Struthio camelus: one gene and its partners. The protein of the gene in region 2 interacts with the protein of the main gene of each other region in a biochemical or structural test. Links are inferred from orthologs where the notes say so. Each region holds a gene or a part of one and is shown on either strand. Other genes may lie near its edges. The genes, in order: AXIN1, TNKS and RNF146.

Region 1 (7,746 bases), on a different chromosome or scaffold from region 2:
CCGTGTCTTGGTCACATTTCCACTCCTCGTCCTCATTCAGAGTAGGCAGATAACCAGGTAGCCCTTTCCCTGTCCCAGACCCTGAGCTCGGATCGCTATAAATTTTTGGACTTTCCCCACCTGTCCTTGTGTATTCCAAATAAATATCCGACTTAAGGAATAAAGGGTAGGTATTGTCTTCTATCATGCACTGAATCTCAGTTTGGGCCTGGTCAAACATGTCGGGGTCAATCTGTAGTTTCATGACACAGTCTTTTATGAAGCTTTTTGTGGCTGGTTTGATCTGCCGGGACACAATTCCATTGTTGTCGAGGATGTATTTTTTGTAAATGGCTTTTGCCAGTTTGAGTCTTTTTTCCTCGTTAGACATGCAGGGCTCCAGCTTCCTGAAGCCGCTGCAGGCAAACCAGAAGTCCAGCAGATCTGCACAGTCCTCCTGTTTCAGGAAAGTCCTGAAGAGATTGATACCGTCTTGATCATCCAGCAAGGAATGCAGCGACTCGGCCCATTTCAAGTAGGGTGGAGTTGGCGAAGCGCTCCCCTCTGGCTCATACCCCAAATCCAAATCCGAGCGCCTTGGTGTTGCTGTGGACATCTCATTTCTAACGACATCACTTTTACTGGAGTAGAAACCATGGCTAATTGGCCTTGGATCTGTGGACACGAGTTCACCTTCCTCACCAGGAACTGGTGGCCTCGGAGCATCTTCAGTGAAGCTTCCTCCGAGGTCCAAAGGGAAGCCTTTCCCTTGGACGTTCATTTTTATGGCACTTGCTCGCACAGGAACCGTAGGAGAAGAGCTGAAATCTCAAAACACCAATGTTTGTAGCTCCAATGTGAACACCTTTGTTCTGCTGAAATAGATGAGAAAAAAATCAAGTATTACTGCAAACAAACACTCTAAGCTTACAGACCACTAATTTTGCTTTGCACTACTGTGCTGAAAAAGAAGATTTAATAAAGCCAATGGCAAAGCTCTGAGCCATTTCAGAGAGAGCAAAATCGGGACCAAAGCAGGTACTCCCTTCCTACCTGTAGAAATAACTGTTAAAGATCATTCCAAAACTTTAGTTCCAGCATTCAGGATAAATGATACAGCCGGTACTACACTAAGAGCAGCCAACTTCAAAATACAGGTGGTTTTACAGGACTCCGGGATTTGGCAGTCCCCGTTTCCAAGAGATCTACGCTTGGAGCACCAACTGGCAAACAGCCCGCACGCAGAAAAAGGACACATGCAGCCTCCTAAACCGGACACTAACTTTACCTGCAGATTAAATAGAGTAAGTCTAACTAGCAGATGTAGTAAGTCACACCAAGGTAATATGCTTTTATCTGCCTACAGATTTAGTACTTCCTCATTCCCCAAGCAGGAGTTTAAGGCCTGGGAAAAATACTCTGAAAGAATATCCAATCAGTACTGAAAGTGAGCCCACAACTTGGCCAAGCGCAGGTGGCTGCCCATACAATCAGGTGACATGTGAAATGTGAAATTCCCCCGAAATTCTTGCCTTTTAGAGGCGCGCTGCACGGTCTTATCTAGTGCTAGGGGAATCCAAACGCACCAATGACCCCAATATTTTGGGCATCTGAACTACATTCTTGCATGTAACGGGCATGTTACTACAGGATTTCAGTTCTGGCACTGCGCTTCACAGAGAGAGGCCAGGTAGCAAGGGTTCATTTAAGCTAACAAACATCGCGTGCTGTAAGCCTGGGAAAACTTCAGGTCATCAAACGAAGATGGGAAAAGCATCTCAAGAAGGCAACCTGATCAGTCGTGACGTTTTTAAAGAAGAGTAACAAGTCAAGATGGAGGATGGAAGGTGCGGGGAAGGAGGGAAAAGCAGAGGAGGACGATCCCTGGACAGCTACTTTCGCGGCTAGGCAAAGTCACTTAATTATTTAAAGGCAGCAGCAGAAGTTTTGTTGTGCAGAACGCCGTCAGCCTCGAAGCCCTCGCGTACTGCAAAGCTCCAGCTGCCTGCCAAACTGCTCCTTGCACTGCATTCACTCAATCGCACGTGCAAACATAGCAGGGAAGACGCGCTTCAACTCAGCCTCTCTCTCCGAGCTCACCCCACCCATATGAACGCATCTTTTGGATGCGTGGCCGTTTTTGTCTCCCCCGGTTCCTCTCCTCGGCCGAGCTGAAAAACACCACCTACGAGCCGCCACGGCGGGCTGTCCTTACAGCCAACCGGCGCGTCACCGAAACCCAGCAAAATCACCCAGGACCCAGCAGACCCATGGAAACGGGCGGCAGCGCCAAGAGCGGCCACCGCTCCTCGCACCCGGGCCCGAGGCGCGCGGGACGGACGGGCGGGCACCGGCGAGCCGGGCGGCTGCTTTGCGTGGCGCGTTTCGCCGCGATCTTCGCCCGGGGTCCGAGGCGGCGAGCGCCGCGGTCGCGCCGCTCTCGCCCAGGAGGGTGCCCCGGCCGCCAGGGCCGCAGAGCCCCGCTCGGGGACGGGCGCACGAGCCATTTTGGTCATTGTGTTGCGAGGGCGGCTCCATCGCTGGCCCTCGCCCCCCCGTCGGGGCCGGGCGGGGAGCGGCCGCCGCGGCGGACGAGGCGGCCGCCGGGCCCCGGCCGCTGCCCCCGGGGCGCAGCGCGATTCTCGCGTTGCAGCCGCCGGGCCCGCGGCTCGGCCCCGACGTGCGCGGCGGGCGGGCGGGGGGGGGGGAGGAGCGAGCCGGCGCCCCCCGGCCGCCTTGATCCCGCCGCCCCCGCCCCAAGTTGCCCCGCTCGGGGGCTGCCGGCGGCTCGCGCGCGGCTCAGCCCGCCCGTGGGCAGCGAGCCGCTCGCCGCGGGCCGGGATTCAAGCTCCGAGGCTGACAGGGCTCTGCCCCGAGCGGCCCGGTGCGAACCCGCCCCGCAGCGCGGCACCGGCCGCCGCCGGGCAACTTCGGGGCAGGCGAGCGGCGGGGCCGGCCTGCCCGCCCGGGCGGCCCGCGCCCCCGCCGCCGCTCCCGCTCCCGCTCCCGCCCCGCGCGGCCCGGCCCGGCCCGGCCCCGCGGCCGCCGGCAGCAGCGCCCGCCCCCCGCGCCCTGGCGGCCTAGCGCCGGCTCGGCGGCGGCCTCCCGGCGCGGCCTCGGCGCAGGGCCTGGGCTCGGGGCCGCCTCCCCTCCGCTCACTCACCCGCACGGAGCAGCGGCGGCGGCGGCAGCGCGGGGCCCGGCCCATGCGGCTCAGCAGCGGCGGCGGCGGCCCGGGGCGGCGGGCGGCGGCGGCGGCGGCGGCGGGGCGGCGGCGGCGGCACAAAGCGGGCGGCCCGGGACGCCCATGGCCGCGGCCGCTGGCTCTGGCGGCGACACGGAGAGCAGCGAGCCCCGCACCGCTCCGCCTGCGCCGCTGCCTCGCAGCGCCGGGAGAGAGCGGCTCAGCCGCGCCCCCCGCGCCCCCGCCCGGTACTGCGGGCCGGGCCCGCGCCGCCAGCCCGCGCCGCGCTCCGCCGCCCGGCCGCGGAGGCGGGGGCGGGCGCGGGGGCGGGGCGGGCCCGGCCGGGCGCGGGGGGAGGCGCCGCCGCCGCCGCCGCCGCCGCCGCCGCCGCCGGGGCCGCAGCGCGCCCGAGGCCGCCCGGCCCCGGCCCCGCCGCCTGCCCGCGGCCGCCCCCGGCGCAGGCCCCGCGGGGGCCCGTGACAGGGCCGCGCTGCTGCCCGCCGTCTCCCGGCGAGGCCGAGCCAGGGCCGGCCGCGGCGGGGGAGCGGGGCCGCCGCCCGGGCGCGCAGCCCACCGCGCTACCGGGCAGCACGCGAGGCGCGGAGCTCCCTCCCCGGAGCGCGCCTGGGGCCTGGCCACCCGCCGGGCACCGGCCGCGCCGTCCCCGCCGTCGCCCGGGCCGCGTGCGGGGCCTGGTGGCCCGCCGTCCCCGAGCCTCGCCGTCGCCCAGGCCCTAGCGACCCGCCGGCCCCGAGCCCTGCTGTCCCTTCTGTCGCCTGGCGGGTGCGGGACCTAGCGACCCGCCGGCCCCGCCACCGCAGACCCAGCCGCAGCGACCACGCGGTCGTTTCCGGGGACCAGCGGCAGGCATCCAAGGAGAAGCGCCCGGCACCTTTCCGTAAGAGGAGGGCACGTGATCTGGGCGCCCGTCAGCGCTCAAGGGGACAAGGACGCTGGCACAAGGGAGGCCGGCGTGCCTGGTGCGGCCCCGCGGTTTGGCCTCGTGAGCCCTGCTGAGCTGCCGCGAGGGTCGGCGCTCCTTGAGGCCCTGTGGCCACGCTGCTTCGGGGGCGAGACGGGGACTGCGGAAGCGTGGGAGACCTCAAAGGCCCAGCTGGGGAACGGCCCACGTGAACACAGGCTGACACGGTCAGTGGGGCGGTTTGCCCTCTGGATATCCCAGACCAAGAGCAGCCCGCGCCTCTAGGGTGACCTCGGGGATCACGCACGCCTCAGTGCGTAACTTCTGCCCGCTGTGGGTAGCTGAGAGGGGTCCGGGACTCTGGCATGCCCATGGGCTCTGCTGCCTTGGGAAAGCCTAGGAGAACCTAACTGAACTGCTGCCTTACTCAAAGGCTGAGCAGCTCCGGAGGTGGGAAAGGAGCATGGAATTACACCTCCTTTTTCTTCTGCTTTTCTGGACAAAATAAGCCCAGGAGAGCTCTTTAAAGCATCCTGACCAGAACACAGCCCAGGAGAGACTCGTGTTTCAGAGACCTGCTGTTCTGCTGCGCAGCTACATCCCACAAAAGATCTCTCTTCATCTTGGAAAGGAAAGGGCAGTGATCCTCAAGGCTGGCTCCACACTACTCCTAGGCCTCTTCTGCTAGGCAGTGGGATTTAATGGTTAATTTTTATTTGAGGTCTTCCTAGAAGAGACCTGCGTTTGTGGGCCAAGGGATAGAGGAGTGCAGATAACTGCTCTGCGGGTGGCTCTCGCCCGGCCAAACAACTAGAGCTGATTTCAAAACTGCTCGTGCGTCTCCTGTTTCTCTGAGGAACCCCGCAATTCTGCAGCTAGCATAAATAAGTGAACTCACCAAGAGGTGGCACTGTATAGACTGAAATAGGTGAAACAACATGGAGACTCTTCCTGAGAAAAGGTGGAGGGGATGGTGCCTTACCCAGAAATGGTTGATTAGAGAAAGCCCTTGGCTGGAAGGGATACCCCAACACCTAGACTGTAAGGCTTTCATGTGTGGGAGGGCTGGGTGACGCTGCAAAAAGAAAAAGAAGGGGACTACCACGTGCAAAGACTGAACAAGAATTCAGGGAACTCCTACTACAGGGAAATCCGAAGCCTGTTTCTTCCCTGGAAAGTGAACAGACAGTCAGAGTCAGGCAGACCCCTCACTGTGATCCCGGTAGCTAAACAAGCAAACAAGCCACGAGACAGTCCTCTGGAAACCAGAAGCGGCTCAAAAAGATTTCCGATAAGGATCAGCTGCTGATTAAAATCAGCATTATTCTGCTGTGTGTACCTGTACGTTCAGCACTTGCTCACATTTGTGTTTGGTGCTCATGCATTTCAGGGGACGCTTTCTGGAACGTACAACGTGTTTTTCAGCGTTCTGAAACGCACCAAAATGTACCGCAGCCGGGGGTATTCCCCTTCCCTACCCTGCAGGAGAGCCCGGCAGAAGGGTGCCGTTCCTTGTGCTCTTTCATGTGAATGATGCTAGTAGCTGATTTACATGTAACAGTGCAACACTGACCTAGGCATAATAATGGGAAAGCTGATGTGGGATTCAGCTGGTAAAGAATTAAAGGATGGAATATAATTAATGCAATCAGCCTAGTTTCTGGAAAATAGCTCTTGTCAAACTCTGATGTCATCCTTTGAAGAGATTACAAGTTCGGCTGATAAAGGTTATGGCACAGGAATAATAGACCTGGACTCTGTTCAGGCATGTGACTTAATCCATATAGTATTCTGATTAAAAATTAGCACAATACAACATCAAGAGAGACACCTTAAAGGGACTGGGAACTGGCAAACCGACAGCCATCAATGGGGAATCCTTGCAGAATGGGAGCATTCTCAGTGGGTGTCCGCAGAGTTTGATGTGAAGCCCAATGCTATTCAGCATTTTCCTCAATGGTCTAGAAATAGATTAAAAAGCCCTGCTGAGAAAAATGCAGGAGCCAGGAAAACGAGAGGGGCAGGAGACACCGACGAGGTCAAGCCAGCTGTAGAAAACTTCATGAGCTGAGTGCAGGCAAATAAAGTGTGCTTGAATGTGGACAGATGCAAAATGATACCTCTTAGGAGCACAGAATGCAGGCTGCTGCTTCTAACGGAAAACTGCACTTTGGAAAGGAACGATTCAGAAAAGAGTTTCAGAGACATCTGTGCACCGGATGAAAGTGTAGGAGCCGGGGTAGCCGCCCCTTGGGAAGTCCTGACCGAGATGGGGGGTTGATGCTACAGCAGAAGGGGTCAAGCCAGCCTGGGATGTAGAAGTGGGGGAGTGGTGAGGAGCAGGATGGTGTTAGGTGTCTAGGACACTGGTAAGATGGGAACCCAAAACTCGCCCTGTTCCAGTGTCTGCGTTTGAGAAAGGATGCTGAAAAATTAGAGCACAGGCAGAGAAGAGTTAGACAGGATCCCAGTCTCTAGAGAAAACATTTTGCACTGAGATGCCTGAGAAATGCAGCCTCTTTAGCTAGTTCAAAGGAGCCTAAGAGGTGCCCCGATTACAGTGCTGAAGCAGCTTCATGGGTGAGAGACTATCAGGTATTAGAGGGCTTTTCGTCTCTCGGAGAAAGGCCCAGCAAGAATTCCTGGCCAGAGCTGAGTTCACGTGAGAAATCAAATCCAGGTTTCTCCATGCAAGTCACTGGGAGAGACTCCCAAAGGCAAGGGGTAGGAGGGCAGAGAGTGGCGAGCGGGGGGTGACAAGGTTGGGTAGAGCAGGGTGCACGTGGCTGAGGTACCTGGACTCAGCATGCACGCTGGGCCCTCGCGTGCCCTGGAGCTCCTGGCATCCCTCCCAGTAGCCTCCACTGCTTACTGCTCCTCGGGGCCTGGCTGGACCTGGGAGGAGCAAGAGAAATGCTGGCAGGACTTTGTTGGCCAGAGGCTGACAGTTCAAGCCCCAGAGGGGGAGTGGCATTGGAGCCGGCCGGGTGCTGCATCCATGCGACCTACAGGACACGTGGCTGGGCTGCGTGGGGTGGAGGTGAGGTACCTGTTTTCTGACTATCCTTATCCTCAGATGCTGATTTACTGCCAGAGGATGGCACGGGGATGGCCAGTGACCCCCACAGCACCATCTGGCAGGAATGTGCTCTGCACCAGTCACCTCCCAGCCACGTTTCCCCCCTATCTGGGGACTTCTACCATCCCTGCTGGGGATGGCTTGCTGACTCCTCCAGTGTACTTCTCTGAGGCACTGACTGCAGCTGCAGGGCAGGCACGAGGTTTTACTCACACTTCACAGAAGAAGGGGCAGGCAGAGCCCTGGAGGTTATGGCCATGTGGAAGGCTTGTTGCTGGGCAAGAACAACTTTCACACTTGCTACCAAACCTTTTGCCACCAGGTCCCGTTCAGGACTGCTACACACTCTCAGTCCTCATGTCCCTAGAAACCGCAGCCAGCTCTGCCCTGTTCTGATGAAGGCCCCAGTTTTGGATGCAGACAGCAGATGCAGCGCTTTCCTCTCCATCACATACAATCAGTGCTGCGTGCTCAGACGCGCTCTTCCATTGCACCAGAGCTCTTGCTACAGCCTTTGCAGCTGTTTCTTTGGAAGAAAGCCTGCAGGCTGCTTTCTGCATGCGCTACGCCGTGACAAGCAGG
Region 2 (7,441 bases):
TCTCTCTGCTGTTCCCTTAAAAAAGTTGAAGCTTCAAGAGACGTGAGAGAAACAGTTAAACTCTAAAACATTGGCACACTGCATTCTTCAACTCCTGTTCCTCTTATAAGAGGGGCCAAACAATTTGTAAAGTTAGCTATGACTCATAAAATTGTGCTATTACACATAACACTGCTTAATACACATAGCAGACTCCTATGCTTGTAAGCAAAGGGGTTTTATTTCTCCTTTTGTCCACAAAGGGGAAGGAGATCCTATCAATGTATTGCATCACTTGCAACTACATACTGCCTAAGACCAGCTGCATTCAAACTTGTTTACAGGCCTTTTCAAAATTTAGGACCTCAGTCTTTCTCTAATAAGAAATCTATCTAATGCTATTAGATGTCAAACTCATTTCAGTCAGATACATGCTTCATTAATTTCTGAGAGAATACGCTTGGCAGCTAAGGAAAGTCTTTAAATCTACAAAAATAGAGAACAAACAGTCTTATTAGGTATAAGAAATTCACCTGCTGTGTTCCTCATGCTACAAGGAAGCATCTTCCATTGCTATTACAGTAAAATCGCACCAACACTCTTGCCTTTCAAAGCCTTAGGTTTTGTCAGCTCCTTCTCTAACCAAAGTTCAGGTTTTAAGTGAAATTAATATTGTACCACTACAGGACCAGCACTACAGTTTGTACTAGTCTACCACTGAAGTTATAACTTGAAATTTTAGCACTTAAGGGTAAGAAGCGGGGTCTAATTTTAAGCTGGAATCCAAAGTGAGCTGATGTGAGATGAGGCCTCCAAAACATTAAGCACTTTGTGCACATGCATGCAGTTGTGCCAGCATCACCTCCCAGGGCTCACTGAAATTAAGTAGGCCTGCACATTTCAGTATTTATTGGTAGAGCTCAGGGATTAGAGGAGATGCAAATGGCTCAAGACCAGTACTTCCCATAGAGCCACCACGAGATGCCACTTTGACTTTGGAAATGACAACAGACCTACACAAACACAGAGATAAACTGAACAGCACTACCTGGAGTCCCAAGCAACGCTGTGTCAGATAAATGCTTATTTTTGTAACTGATTTCCATGTGGTGCTTTAGAGCCATACACCAGCATTCAAATATTGAACATAGAATAAAGCCTGAGTAAAGGCTTCAGCAACTTCTGTTTCTCTTTCATATTGGCTATTGTGCTGCTTATCTGACAAGGGTTACTGGAGCATGTTCCGAGTTGTAGAACGGGATCCAGAACTCTACTGTCAATATTAAAGAGCTCCAGCTTGTGGTGCCAAGTCAGGAAAATTAAAATAGCAACCACTCTGTCAGCCAGGAGCAGGCCAGTAAGCATGGCACATCAGCAGGAGTAGGTCAGGGCATCCCATAGCCACTGGCCTACTTACAAGCTCAGACAAGATCCGTGCCCCGCTGGATGGTATCAAGGCAATCTGTATCATTGTGGCATTTGTCAGAAAGACTTCAATCTGACCACGGACCTAGCAACCGTGCAAGTCCTGACTTCAACTATTTTCCCCATTTTACTGTTATCACGGGCTTCACTCCCCCTGTGCCTCTAGCCATGGCCAGCCCCCCACAAAACGCTCTCTTTATAGACTATACTAAGGGGTAGTAGCTATGCTTGGTAGGAGACAATGTTCATTTGCAATTGAGGTCAGTCACTGAATCTCACTTTTGACTTATTTTATGACAGTGACTATTTCTGGTCACAATATCATCTCTTCCCCACACTGAGAGGCATATTGTCTCCTGGACACAGCTGTAACCTCCCACTGAGTTCAGCTGTTCCACTTCACCTCTTTCCCCAGCCCGCTCAAACCACAACAGAGGCAGAGATCAATCCGTAGCTACACTGAGATAACAGGAAAAAAAGCAAAACCAAAAAACACACACACACACACACCAGTCAAAACACAAAAATGCATTGACTTTGATTCCTAGTAAGCCTACCTGCATCACAGGGTTCCTTGACTTTCAAGAGCTACTGCAATACAAGTGAAAACCTTAAATCCAAACCAACTCTGCCCTGAGTTCCAGAAACATAGTGACATCAGTTGCTCACTTGCTAAGCCCACATGCTGAAGTCAGCAACTTGTGGGGCCAATACAGGGAGTTATTTTAGTACTTTTAGATTATACGGCTTCCCTCATGCCCCCACAGGCTCTCCTTTCCCCCTCTTCTCACCCAAAGGGATGATCCTCTGCCCGTTTTGGGGACGGGGGAGAAGGAGAGAGAGGGGTTTAACAGCCATCTACTCCCGCACCCAGCATTAGTGAAACGGCACCAGGAAAAGCGCCCTCGCGCTCCTCCTCTCCCAGGAACGAGCTTGCGCCCCCGCGACCCCCCGGGACGCTGGAGATGCGCTCCCTGCTGCGCCCACCCAGCAGGTGGGTGCGAGAGGGGCCGCGGGAGGCGCCGGTGCAGGACGCCGAGGCACCGGCTCTCCCTGCTCCGCCGGGAACGGGAGGCCGGGCCGACCCCGGCGCCCTCGCCTCGCCCAGCGGCCCCGGCACTCACCGGCAGCGAAGTGGAGCGGCGTGGACTTGCGGCCCGCCATGTCTTTGGCGTTCACGTTGCCCGTGTCCACCAGGCGCTTCACGCGCGTCACGTCCCCATTGCGGCAGGCCTCCAGCAGCTCGCGGAAGGCGCCACTCGCCGCCCCCAGGCCCGCCGCCTCGGGGCTCTCCACCGCCGGGCTCGACGCGGCCGACGACGACGCCGACGAGGAGGAGGAGGACGACGACGAGCTGCCGGAGCTGCTGGCCGAGCCCGGCGGCGGGCCCGGGGCGGCGGCGGCGCCCGCGCCCTCCGCGCTCTCCGGGGCTGGAGGCCGCTCGGCCTCGGAGGGCGCCTCGCCCTCAGGGCCGGCCAGGCTGTGCCGCTGCGCGGCGGGGGCGAGCTCGGCGGGCGCCAAGCTAGGGCTGCGCGGCGGCGAGGCGGCGGCGGCCGGCGGCGAGGCCGGCCCAGGCGGCGGCGGCAGGTGGTGGTGGTGATGGTGGTGCTGGGAGCGACGCGGCGCCGCCATTTTTCGCCCTTCCTCTACCGCCCCCCTCCCCGCCTCCCTCTCAGCCCTCGTCACTGCGGCAACGGCGGCAACGCCCGCCCACGCTTCCGCCCCCCCCCCCAGCCAATCCCCGCGGGCGGCGCCCGGACGTGACGACAGGGGTGCTGGGGCGGGGCGGGGCTTTCGCGGGCTCCACCCCCTGCCGGGGCCGCGGCTAGCGCCCGCCTTCCGAGCAGCTCGGGGCGCGCGGCTGCCGGCACGCGCCGCCGGGGGGCGAAGGGGGGGGGGGTGCCTGGCTGCGCGCGCCCCCCTCCCCCCCCCGCTGCACGCGCGGCCCTCGCACATTGCCCAGCCCTGGCCCACCTGCCTCTTCGCACACTCACCCCCAACCTTGACTTCTTGCACGCTCATCCAGGCCTTGACCCTTGCACACTCACCCCCAGCCCTGGCCCACCTGCTTCCTTGCGCACCCCCAGCCTTGACCCCTTGCACATTCACCTCCAGTCCTGGCATGCCTGCGCCTCGCACACTCATCCAGGCCTTGACTCCTTGCACACTCACCCCCAGCCTTGACCCCTTGCACGTTCACCCTCAGCCCTGGCATGCCTGCGCCTTGCATGCTCCCCCCCCGCCAAGGGCTGGAGGATCCAGCCTGACACATTCCCACCTGGGCAGCAGGGCGGGAATCCAGCATTGCTGTCGAAAAGACGTTTGGTCTGAGATTTTGAGCAGAACGAGTCAGTCCTCCTCGTCCCCTACCCCAAAGCCGCCTTCCAAAGAGAAACCAACTAGCGGCCTGGAGAGTGAGTACTTGGCAAAGACCTCATGAGCTCTGGGCTCGTTAGGGCCTGGGAGGTCCTCTGAGTAACGAGCAGGTCTGAAGTGGTACGGGAATAGCGGGCGGGGGCTTTCAGCAAGCAAAGCCCAGAATCGGGCTTTACACCACCTTTGGTAACTCGAGGTCTTTCTCCGGCCCCCGGAGGGCTGCGCTGCAGATAGAAATCTTATTACTAATGCAGCTGCCTGGCTCAGTAAAGCGAGGGAACCTCAGGCTTCAGATGAATAATTAAAAACCCCGTCAACAGGCCTTTGCAGGGCCATCATCTAAAATTAGTAACTCCGAGCGCAATTCTGGGTGTATAACGCAATCCGCAGCAATGGGATCCGTTTCTTCCCTCCTTTTTCCCCCCCTGCCCCAATGCCACGCACTCTTGGCCGTTTGACAGCCTTCGCTTCAGCTGCTGAGAACGAGGGGAAGGGTCTGGGGTGATCCCCGAACGTTTTCGGGCTCCGGCACCGCTTGCACCAGCACCGACCCGTCGCTCAAGCACAAGCCCGGCCCGGAGAAAGCGGGGCCGGGAGGGGGCGGGGCGAGAAGGGGGCGGGGTGGGCGGGGCGAGAAGGGGGCGGGGTGGGCGGGGCGAGAAGGGGGCGGGGCGAGAAGGAGGCGGGGCGAGAAGGAGGCGGGGCGAGGGCGGGAGAGGGGCGGAGCGAGAGCGCGGCGGGGCCCCGCCCCCGGCGGCGGCGGCTACGTGCGCGGCCGGCAGCGGCGCGGCGGGAGCCCGCAGCCCGCCGCGGCGGCGGCGGCGGCGCCGCGCCCATGGCGAGCGGCGGCGGCAGGTAGGGCAGGGCGCGGCGCGGCCATGGCGCAGACGGAGCCGGCGGAGGCGGCGCGGCCGTGGCGCGGCGGTGCCGCCGCCCTGCTCGCGCGGAAGCTGCGCGGCGGCGGCGGCGGCGAGCCCGAGCCCGAGCCGGACGCGGGGCCGCCGGGGGGGCCGCCGCCTCCTCCCGCCGCCCGCCCCCCTCCCGCCGCGGCGGCGGCAGCGCTGGGCGAGCTGGAGGCGCTGAACCTGAGCGGGCGCGGGCTGGAGGAGCTGCCCGAGGAGGTGGGCGCCGCCCTGGGCGGGCTGCGGGCGCTGAGCCTGCGGCGCAACCGGCTGCGCCGCCTGCCCGCCGCCGCCCTGCGCCACCTGGGCCGCCTGGCCGAGCTGGACCTCAGCCACAACCGGCTGCGGGGCCTGGGCGACGGCGCGGCGCTGGCGGGGCTGCGGGGCCTGCGCAAGCTCAGCCTCAGCCACAACGAGCTGGGCGCCGAGGGGCCCGGCCTGCCGCCGCGCCTGGCCGAGCTGGGCCGCCTCGAGGAGCTCGACCTCAGCTTCAACCGCCTGCGCCGCCTGCCCGAGGGGCTGGGCCGCCTGCGGCACCTCCGCACCCTCGACGTCGACCACAACCTGCTGCCCGCCTTCCCTGCCCCGCTGCTGGAGCTGGCCGCCCTCGAGGAGCTCGACTGCTCCGGCAACCGCCACCTCGGGGCTCTGCCCGAGGGCATCGCCGCCCTCCGCCATCTCAAGATCCTCTGGCTGAGCGGCACCGGGCTGGCGACCCTGCCCGAGGGCCTCTGCCAGCTGGGTGCCCTCGAGAGCCTCATGCTGGACGGCAACCGGCTGCGGGCTCTGCCCGCCGGCTTTGGCAGCCTGCAGCGCCTCAAGATGCTGAACCTCTCCTCCAACCTTTTGGGGGAGTTCCCTGCCGCCGTGCTGGCCCTGCCCGGCCTGGAGGAGCTCTACCTGAGCCGCAACCAGCTCACCCTGCTGCCCCCTGGCCTCTGTCAGCTCCGCCAGCTCCGCACCCTCTGGCTGGACAACAACCGCATCCGCTACCTGCCTGACTCCATCGTGCTCCTCCACAGCCTGGAGGAGCTGGTGCTGCAAGGCAACCAGATCGCCATCCTGCCCGAGGGCTTTGGGCAACTGTCCCGCGTCACCCTGTGGAAGATCAAGGACAACCCCCTCATCCAGCCCCCGTATGAGGTGTGCATGAAGGGCATCCCTTACATCGCGGCCTACCAGCAGGAGCTGGCCAACTCCCAGCCTGCCCTCAAGCCCCGCCTCAAGCTGGTCCTCATGGGCCTGAAGGATGCGGGCAAGACCTTGCTGAGACGGTGCCTCATGGAGGAGGACAGGCAGAGGGAGGACGCGGGAGGTCCGGAGTCAGGGAGTGCCCAGCCCAGAGGCTACCCTGGTCAGCAGCGAGATGCTGGTAGAGTGCCGGTTGGGTGCTGCCCCTTCCCGCAGCCTCCGGACACCTCCTCAACGCGGGTACCTGCCATGCAGCAGCTGGAGCAGCTCCCTGTTGAGCGGCGGGATGTCCCCCATGCGCCTTCTCGCAGAGTGCAGGGGGAAACACTGTGCCCGGCGCCATCACTGCCACCGGACGCCTTCCAAGCGCCATCAGGAGCGGGACTGCCAGGAGGCAGCAAGGGCATTGAGGTGATGGACTGGACAGCGGATGCTGAGAGGGGTCTGACATTCATTGTGTATGAGCTAGCGGGGGACCCGAGCTACGATGTGATCCAATCTTTCTTCCTCTCCCCCGGGGCCTTGTATGTGCTGGTAGTGAATTTGAGTGCCTACGTCCCTCAGCACTTCTACCGCTCTGTGGGCTACTTCTTGCACTGGCTTGGTTCTAAGGTGCCCCATGCTGTGGTGTGCATGGTGGGAACCCATGCCGACCTCTGCGCCGAGCGGGAGCTGGAGGAGAAGTGCCTGGACATCCATCACCAGATTGCTCTGCAGGAGAAACGGGATGCTGAGGGACTCCAGAGCTTGGTCCAGCAGGTGGATGAGGCTCTGGGACAGGACTTTGACCTGCGCTGCTCCAGCCCGCACGCCACCTTCTACGGGGTCTCGGACAAGAACTTGCGGCGGAAGAAAGCCCAGTTTCAGTATCTTCTGAACCACCGCCCACAGATTCTCTCCCCGGTGCTGCCCTTCAGCTGCCGGGACCGTTGCCAGGTGCGTCGCTTGCGGGACAAACTCCTCTCAGTGGCCGAGCACCGGGACATCTTCCCAAACCTGCACCGAGTGTTGCCCAAATCCTGGCAAGTGCTGGAGGAGCTGCATTTCCAGCCGCAGGCTCAGCAGCTGTGGCTCAGCTGGTGGGACTCTGCCCGGCTGGGCTTGCAGGCGGGCCTGACGGAGGATCGGCTCCAGAGTGCCCTGTCCTACCTCCACGAGAGTGGGAAGCTGCTCTACTTTGAGGAGCACCTCACACTGCGGGAGTACGTGTTCCACAACCTGCCGCGGCTCATCGATATCCTCAACGTCTTCTGCCAGCGGGATGCCACTGTGCTGCTCCAGAAGTTGCTCAGCGACACCCACATCGATGAGCTGAGGGCCACCCAGCTCCATCACTATGTGGAGGGCTTCTTGTTGCATGGCCTCCTCCCTGCCCACATTATCCGCCTGCTTCTCAAGCCCCACATCCAGAGCCGGGAAGACCTGCAGCTCATTCTGGAGCTGCTGGAGAAGATGGGCCTCTGCTACTGTGTCAACAAGCCCAAATGCAAACCCCTGAACGGGGCGGCTGCCTGGTACAAGTTCCCTTGCTATGTGAAGAACGAGGTGCCCCATGCAGAGGCGTGGAT
Region 3 (7,658 bases), on a different chromosome or scaffold from region 2:
TAGCCCCTTCTCCTCTAAAAAACCCAAAATGCACATATTGGTAAAGTGAAACAAAACTAGCTTCTTGCTTGCCAAAGACAGTTATTTAAATCCTATAGCAAATGATAGACGACTTCATAAAATCAGCAACATCGTACAGATGATTCTGCAGTAGTTATCACAAATTCATCGCTTTTCCCCATAGTTTGAAAACTCAATAGCGGCACCATTATTTCAGAAAAGTAAAGAAGCTGCTGCAAATAACCACTTCAAATTTTCAGCAAGCTCCCTAACTCACATGTCAAGGGGGCAGGGGGCACAGCAGGGGAAGAATATCACAGAATACTGCCCTCCTCCTTACAAGTCACCACAAGCCACACAAATACTGTGGAAGGAAAGAAAAAACATGGTTGTTTTCTAAAAGGGAAATCATCCTCCTATCTGAAAATCTGTTACTGTCGATATACTATCAGCTCAAGCTCCTGAGCCTATCAGATTTTTTTTTTTTTTTATCTGTCACTGGGCATTTGATAGCACAACAGATAAACCACCTCACTGTTTCCTATTCATGGCCAGTCACTTTTTTGTATCTGCGGAAACTTAGTCAAAGAAAATCTTCAGGAATTACTGATGAGATGAGATTTTAAGGAGCCTGTGATCTGCTAATTAAAAACCTTATATACGCATTTGGAACTGAATCACAAAAAAAAAAAAATCAAAGTGCAGAACAGTCAACTGTTTTGGTATGAAATTGCCATGTATTTATTCCAAATGAATTCCTCCTGCTATGCTGCAACGGGAACACTGATTCTGAATTTTGATCATATATTATATTTCAATATATCTAATAGATTCCACTCAGAAATAAAATGATATTGTATCAAAATTCCTGTATGAAAACCAAGCAGAAATAGGTTTGTCTCAATTGATCGATGCTTCAGGAACAGAAGGCAAGTACAAGAACAGCTTTAGACTCAATTAACATGCGGGGGGGGGGCAGAAATCAATTCTAATAAAAAGACGTTTTCCCCACCAATTACAGGAGTTCATTGTTTAATAGTCTTTAAAAATACTGCAGTTCCATCTCTCTAAGTAAATGACAATTCAATTACATCTAAATTGATGCAGAATATTTTTAGGGAAACAAAAAGAACACAACTTTTTCTTTCACTTAGCACAAATTCTGCATTACAGCAATTTAAACTGGTGCTTTAATTCAGCTGGAAAGGAACCACAATATTAACCATACAAGACAATAAAGCAAGTTTCTGCAAAAGTTCAGTATTTAAGATTACTCGAAACAACTGAATCAAAATTCAGACTTCACTACATACTCAATACTATTACAACAGTTCGTTTTTGATAAAACTAGTCCTGAAAGTGTCTCTAAAAACACAATTAGTTAGTCCACTGAGAACACAGGGAGCAGCTAACAATGCAGAAGGACTGTATTTTTAGTATTACAAATCTGACGATCAAGACAGTTTAAAGCTCTACTCCCTACTCCTGCTTGTAATTCTTCTATGTATACTTGCATACTACAAATACCAATAACAAATCCTACAGTATTTCTAGTCCATATAACACAAGGGTTATCCTGAGACACACACGCACAAACTTTTATCGGGTTTTATTTTAATTGTGAAATTCCACGTTTTCGACCATTCTGATGCGCACTGCTACTCTGTTTGTATGAAAACTCTTATTTACAAAATATTTTGTAATAATTCTTCAGTGGTGGCAATATGTATTGCAGCAAGAGCTGGACCTATTTTCATGTCCCATTTAAACACTCTAAAAGGATGCAATCAAATACGAGAGCCCAGACCATCAAGCACAAAGAAACAAAAGCACTTCCATTAAAAACCACTGCATACCTCTTTTTATGTGCTTCCTACTGTACTCCTAAGAATATTCATATGATTTCTATTCTAGTTTCACAAAGCTCATTACGGTAATGAAAGTAACCCGGCTAGAGCAAAGACATTTTGCAAGAAGAGTGAGAACACATGCCACAGATTTATTTAAAACACCACACATGGCTCTTCTGGTCGAGGGATTCTGCAACACGTAAAGTTAGAGCGCGCGTTCCTGACCTATTTTGTTACTGAACAAAATGAAACCCGGGAATTGAGGCCCTGATGCTGCACACATCAAGCACTTCATTTTACACAGATTTAAGACTGTCATCTCCCTGAGGGCAAAGTTAAGGCCAAAAAGCGTCCGCCGGACGAGGCCCCCCGCTCGCCGCCAGAGCCCGGCGAAGCGGCGGCTTAGGGGACACGGCGGGGACTTACAGCACGGGCAGCAGGTGGGGCGAGCCCGGCGGCGCCCAGCGGGGCCACCTCCCGGCTCCTCGCAGCGCGCCGCCGTCTGCCGCGCGGAGGCGGATCCGCGCGGTGTCCCGGCCGGCCGCCGCCGCCGCCGCAAGGCCCGGCTCGGGCAGGGCGGACGAGGCCGCTCTGGACACCCTGCGCCACCGCGGCCCAAAACACCCCTCACGTGACGCGCCGGCGGCGGGCGGGGGCAGGCGGCGGACGCTGCTCCTGCTCTCGCCCAAACAATAACACAGGCCCGGGCCCGGGCGTGCCCGCCGCCCCTCCCCCGCGGGCGGGGCCGGCTCCTCAGCGCCGCCGGGTCCCCCCCTCCCCGGCCCCGCGCCGCCGCCGCGCTCTCGGGCCTTTTGTCCAGCGGCGGCGCCCGCCCGCCGACGGAAGCGGGCAGGCCGCGACGTCCGCCCCCCGCCCGCCCTTTCCCTCGCCGGAGCGGGGAGAGCCGCCGGCGGAGGAGGGAGCAGCGCCGCCCCCCGCCCCGGGCGGTCGGCCGCGGGGCGAGGGGGGCTGGCGGAGCGACCGTTGCTCCCCCTCCCTCCGCGCTCGCGGCCGTTGGCGTCGGAACGCGGCGGCGCCGCCACGGACTCACCCGCCGGGCCGGCTCGCGCCGCTCAGCCCGCTCCCAGGCGCCGCCGCCGTCACCTGCCGCCTCCTCCGGCCCCCGCCGCCGGGCGAGCGGGACGCGCCGACGTCACGCGCGGGGGGGGGGGGGAGAGAGGGAAGCGCCGAACGCGCCACTGTGACGCCGCGGGGGGAGGGGCCGCGCCGCGCGCCCCGGTGAGGCGGGGGGGGGGGGACGCGCGGCGCGCTCCCGTGACGCCACGCCGTGGCGCCGCCCCGCCCCCGCGGCGGTGCCATGGCAGCGGCGGCCGCGCCGCCCCCGGCCTGGGCAGGGGCCGCGCCCGGTGGGCCCGGCGGGGCAGGTGCGGGCCCGGTGCGCTCGGCAGGCCCGAGGGTCGCGGCTGGGGCGCGGCAGCGGGGGAGACGCGGGAGCGGAGGGGCTGGTGCAGGGTTGTGGGACCCGAAGGCCCCTCTGAGCGGGCGCTGTGCTCGCCGGGGAGGCCAAGGAGCCGACGGGGCAGGGGCCGGCTGGCCTTCCCCGGGCCGTGAGCTCGGCCCGTGCGGCTCGTTTGCCCAGAAATACCAGGGGTCGGGCAGCGTGGCCGAGTCACAGCCTCGAGTGGCCCAGGATTTGCGCCGCAGGCAGCGCCCTGGGCCGTGGGCCGGCTGCTCTGCGGCGAGGGTCTGCGGCAGGTAGCACGGGACCTGCTAGACGCGGGTGGGTGCTCCTCTGTGGCCTGGCCCGGGCCTAAGTGCGAGGGGCTGGCCTGCAAAAATAATCCCTCAGGAATTGTTGCCCGCAGCAAGCAACTGAACCTTGGTGAGAGGAGATAATCCACACGTCCTTTAAGTTGGAACGGTATTCGTTTTGAGGGGATCAGGGGCTGTGTGTCAAAGCAGTCGCTGCGCGCGGAGGCAGAACTGACAAAATGCGGGAACTTAGGTAGTCAGAGCTTGGTAGAACACCTGGAAGTGGTGTTTGGCTGCGGTTTTGGATGATACTTCAACTCCCAGAAGTCACAGACACCAGAGAACATAACAAAGATCAAAAATCTAAGAGTATTAAATTCTAAATTTAATCTGGAATACTAAAAAAAAGTGTATTTTTTAAACCACCAAACTCTTAGGAGTCTATAATTAGCACTGCATTTAACAGAAGTGACATAATTGTATTCAAGGACACGTTTATGTGGCAACCTGTACTGCTATTTAAGGAGGACCTTGTGAGGCTGAGTCAAATAATAGAGGTTTAAAAAAAAAGAAAATAAAACCTTTTGGCAGTGAGTTTGTTCAGCAACAATAGGCTTAATCCTTTGACTAGCCAGACCTTGATCCTGTTGAAGTTACTGAGGTCAAATTCCCATTGGTTTCAATTGGAATCTGACCTAAAAAAGGAAAGTAAGTCTGGATTCTTAAGGGATCTAAAGAGTTGAAGCAAAGCTACTCTCATTGCATTCAGGTTCATAAGAGAAGAAGCATCTCGGAAAACTGTACTTTTAAAAAAGAAAATCCATAGGTGCGTTTTGATAGGTTCATGACAGCTTACTGCAGCTGCAGGTCAATTTGAGAAAGTGCACTAATGAATGCAAAATTTTACTTTATGCTGCATGAATTATGGAGCAAGCATAGTAGTTAAAGTAAATATCACGTTGTGCCAAAGGCAGTAACCAAAGAGTTAAGTGCATTACATGCTGCTGGCCTAAAGAGATAAACAAAAGTACCTAGTTGAATAGATTGGAATAAGGGGATCAAAAATGATCTGCTTAAGATCTGTTAAGATTATCCCTCCTAAAATTTTACCTGCGCTATTATCAATTGCTATTATTGACTTCTATTTCAGTCAGAATATGTATTTTTTGCCCGTCTTTTTCTGTACTACTGCTTTTGGCATGAAAACATCCCATGTATTCCAAAGATGTTTTTCCAACCATGTATTAGTTTATACCTGTCTGTTATAACTGAAACCACCTCAGCTATATCTGTCTGCTTCTGCTTGCTTTGCAGTTCTGCACTCTCTCTTTTTTTTTTTTTTTTTTTTTTGCCGTTATCTACAATGTAATCAATCTGGAATTGATGTCTGGTGCTTGCCACTAAATTATTTATGAGTACAGTGGATGGAAAAGTAAAGGCTGAGCAGACTAATCCTTAAAAGACACCACTTCCCCTGTTAAATTTCTAAGGTTCCACCACTAATTTTTTGAAGATACTTTGACAATGGACAACTGTTGATCCATATTTCAGTGTTTCAGTGTCTCTATTTATCCAGTATTTTTCCAGCTTCTTCAAAAGTATGTGATACTGTATAGAATTGCTGATATGACAATGTGTTATAGTCACTAAGGTCTCAATCCTCACTGCACTTCCACAGTTTAGGAGAGACAGGAGAAAACAGTTTCCTTCTGCTGTGATTTGGGAGTTAGTGAGGAGAACCTCAGAACTGCTCCAAGTTGCACTAGCAGTGAAGGAGCGTATGATGTGTGGTGTCATTCCCCCCATTCCGCATTTCTGCACCTTCAACGCACCCTCTGTGCTGAACAGAGAAAGATGTAAAGTTGGCAATGTGCCACTGAGGTCCAAACGTACTTTTGGCTGTTTTGCGCTAGCAGCCAGCGGAGGGGTAGAAGACTGAGCTCCGAATCTGTCATTACATTAAAAGCGAATCCTGGTCTTGTTTAAATAACGTATTTGCTTTATGAACTGCTATTGCTTATCACTCGGTGCTTTCCTTTCCTCTAAGCTATTGCCTAACACGGAATCCCCATGTTACATTAGCATTTTCATTAAGGTGATTTTTTTTTTTTTATTTTTCGTGGCATTGAAGATTGACTAATACATGGACAATTTCTAGAATATTTTTTAATTATATATTTAGTTTTTACAGCCAGTGACACAAGCTTGTCCCTTGTCCTACAAGTTTTAAGCATGCTTACAGTACAAAGTGGCCCACAGCCAGTTCAGCTAGGCAGAGAATTCTCTTGTGTGAAGCCAATATTAGACTATCGCTGTCATTTGCTCGCCCTGGCACCTGACAGTCCTGGCCCTCTAGAGCATTCACTGGCAAATGGTGTAAAAGCAGTGCCCAAGATGCTATCAGTGAGACAAAATTACATTTGCTTTGAATTGCAATTGCAGTTCTGGTGATGTGCAAAAGGGCCTGGCAGACTTGTAGGTTGATCAACACGAGTCCAAAGTATAGTCTTGGGTTTACAAGTAGTTTTTCACTTTGACTGAAACTATGCAAATTCATGTCTGCCTCATCCATCTACACTTACAGTCTTGCTGAGTTGTAGCTAAACTGATTTCTAGTCACTATTTGTAGGTTGAAAACAAAGTGTTAAGGCGACAATCGGCCTATGAAAATCCAACTAGTGTACTTCATGTAATGTCTGTATTTTGCTTACATAACCTAGATATGTAGCAACCAGTGCCAAATACACTTCTGTGTAACAGTTTTCGGAGGTCTGTGCTGTTTAGGTCTGTGCTGAAAATCCCATTTGGCTTTACAAATAGAAAGTTGAATAGTGCTGAGGAGGAGAACTGGGAAAAGAGAAGAGGTGAGGGTGAATTGTGTTCCTCAGTTCTTTTGGTCTGTGGCTTTCATTGGATCAGTACCCTTTCTGTCTGCAAATTCCCAGGAAAAAATCTTGATGGTTTTGCTTTCATTTAGTGGCAGCAAAATTCCACATAGCATAACATTGTCTTCTGCCGTTATCCCAGCTGTCAGAATCATCTCTCTCTCTCTCTCTCTCTCTCTCTCTCTCTCTGACTTCCTCCCCATCAACAGACACTATTAACTTAATATTTAAAAAAAACATGATGCAGGATGTTCAAAATCTTGAAGTTTTAAAAAATAGTAAGGTTAGGTTTTGGGTTTCTTTAAATTTAGTCCCTGAGTTTTACATCTCTAAGATTATAATTTTGTATGTAATTCTCTAGCTATAAGGCAGAAACTTTGTTTTAACTTTAATTAAAGCTGATATTCTTATATAATCGTACATCTTCAGAAGCTGAATCCTTTCAAAAACTAATACATGTCAAGATTCTTGAGAAATGGAAAATATTAGTCATAGGAGATAGCACATATGACTACCTTTTATTTTAGTAAAAGGAATGCAAAATGCCTACTATATGTTTCATTTAAAGATTAATGAATTACAAATTATGGTTTCCTTTGGTATCACTAGATGGTATATGGTAACTGCTGGGAAGCTAAGCTCATCAAAACACTTTTGGTAGAGCACAGAGGTGCTGCTGTCTCTCCTGATCCAGCTAGGGCACTGATCAGACTCCTAGCTGACGATTAAAGCTAGTAGTTGTTGTACTCCAAGCCCTGATCCTATTGTAATCAATAGCAAAACTTGCTGAGTGGTTCTGCACTGATGTTTCCTGGGAAATTGCACACTAGTGAGGCCTGTAGCTCAGGGTGATATTTAAAAAGAGGAATTCTCTACTGAAACTCTTTAAAGCATCCACCACTTGTTGGAAAGTTAGCATAGTCCCCAAACTTTATATATCAGACCTGTGCGTGAGCTCTCAGTAGAACATACAAGTCTTTAAGGAGACAGAAAAATTGGAAGTATAGTCCTATAGTTTTTGTTATACCCACGTGAAATATCGTAATTGCTGTGCACGCAGCTTCTTTTACACTAGAGGGCATGTTATTCATTTTACAAGTAGACTTTCTGAATGCTAGAATAGCACAAATTACAACAATTTCTCCTGTAGAAAGCAAAAGGAATAAAAATAGGTAAAATAGCAAAATAAAAAATAAAGTAAGAAAATTAT

What was found.
Region 1: the proteins of TNKS (region 2) and AXIN1 form a complex in vitro, tested with the Homo sapiens proteins (2 studies listed by BioGRID). The link is inferred for Struthio camelus from reciprocal best matches to the Homo sapiens genes TNKS and AXIN1.
Region 3: the proteins of TNKS (region 2) and RNF146 form a complex in vitro, tested with the Homo sapiens proteins (3 studies listed by BioGRID and IntAct, with this or other methods). The link is inferred for Struthio camelus from reciprocal best matches to the Homo sapiens genes TNKS and RNF146.

The regions. Positions count from the first base shown.
Region 1 is NC_090956.1:19,077,268-19,085,013, forward strand, and holds the start of AXIN1 (axin-1), read right to left. Parts: upstream 3,229-7,746; 5' UTR 3,143-3,228; intron 855-3,142; exon of another isoform or gene 852-854; 5' UTR 761-851; coding exon 1-760. UniProt on the Homo sapiens protein: Component of the beta-catenin destruction complex required for regulating CTNNB1 levels through phosphorylation and ubiquitination, and modulating Wnt-signaling.
Region 2 is NC_090945.1:3,094,084-3,101,524, reverse strand, and holds the start of TNKS (poly [ADP-ribose] polymerase tankyrase-1), read right to left. Parts: upstream 3,071-7,441; 5' UTR 3,037-3,070; coding exon 2,529-3,036; intron 1-2,528. Other genes in the region: MFHAS1 (malignant fibrous histiocytoma-amplified sequence 1), read left to right, coding at 4,659-7,441.
Region 3 is NC_090944.1:69,253,248-69,260,905, reverse strand, and holds the start of RNF146 (E3 ubiquitin-protein ligase RNF146), read right to left. Parts: upstream 3,070-7,658; 5' UTR 2,902-3,069; intron 2,479-2,901; exon of another isoform or gene 2,277-2,478; intron 1-2,276. UniProt on the Homo sapiens protein: E3 ubiquitin-protein ligase that specifically binds poly-ADP-ribosylated (PARsylated) proteins and mediates their ubiquitination and subsequent degradation. May regulate many important biological processes, such as cell survival and DNA damage response.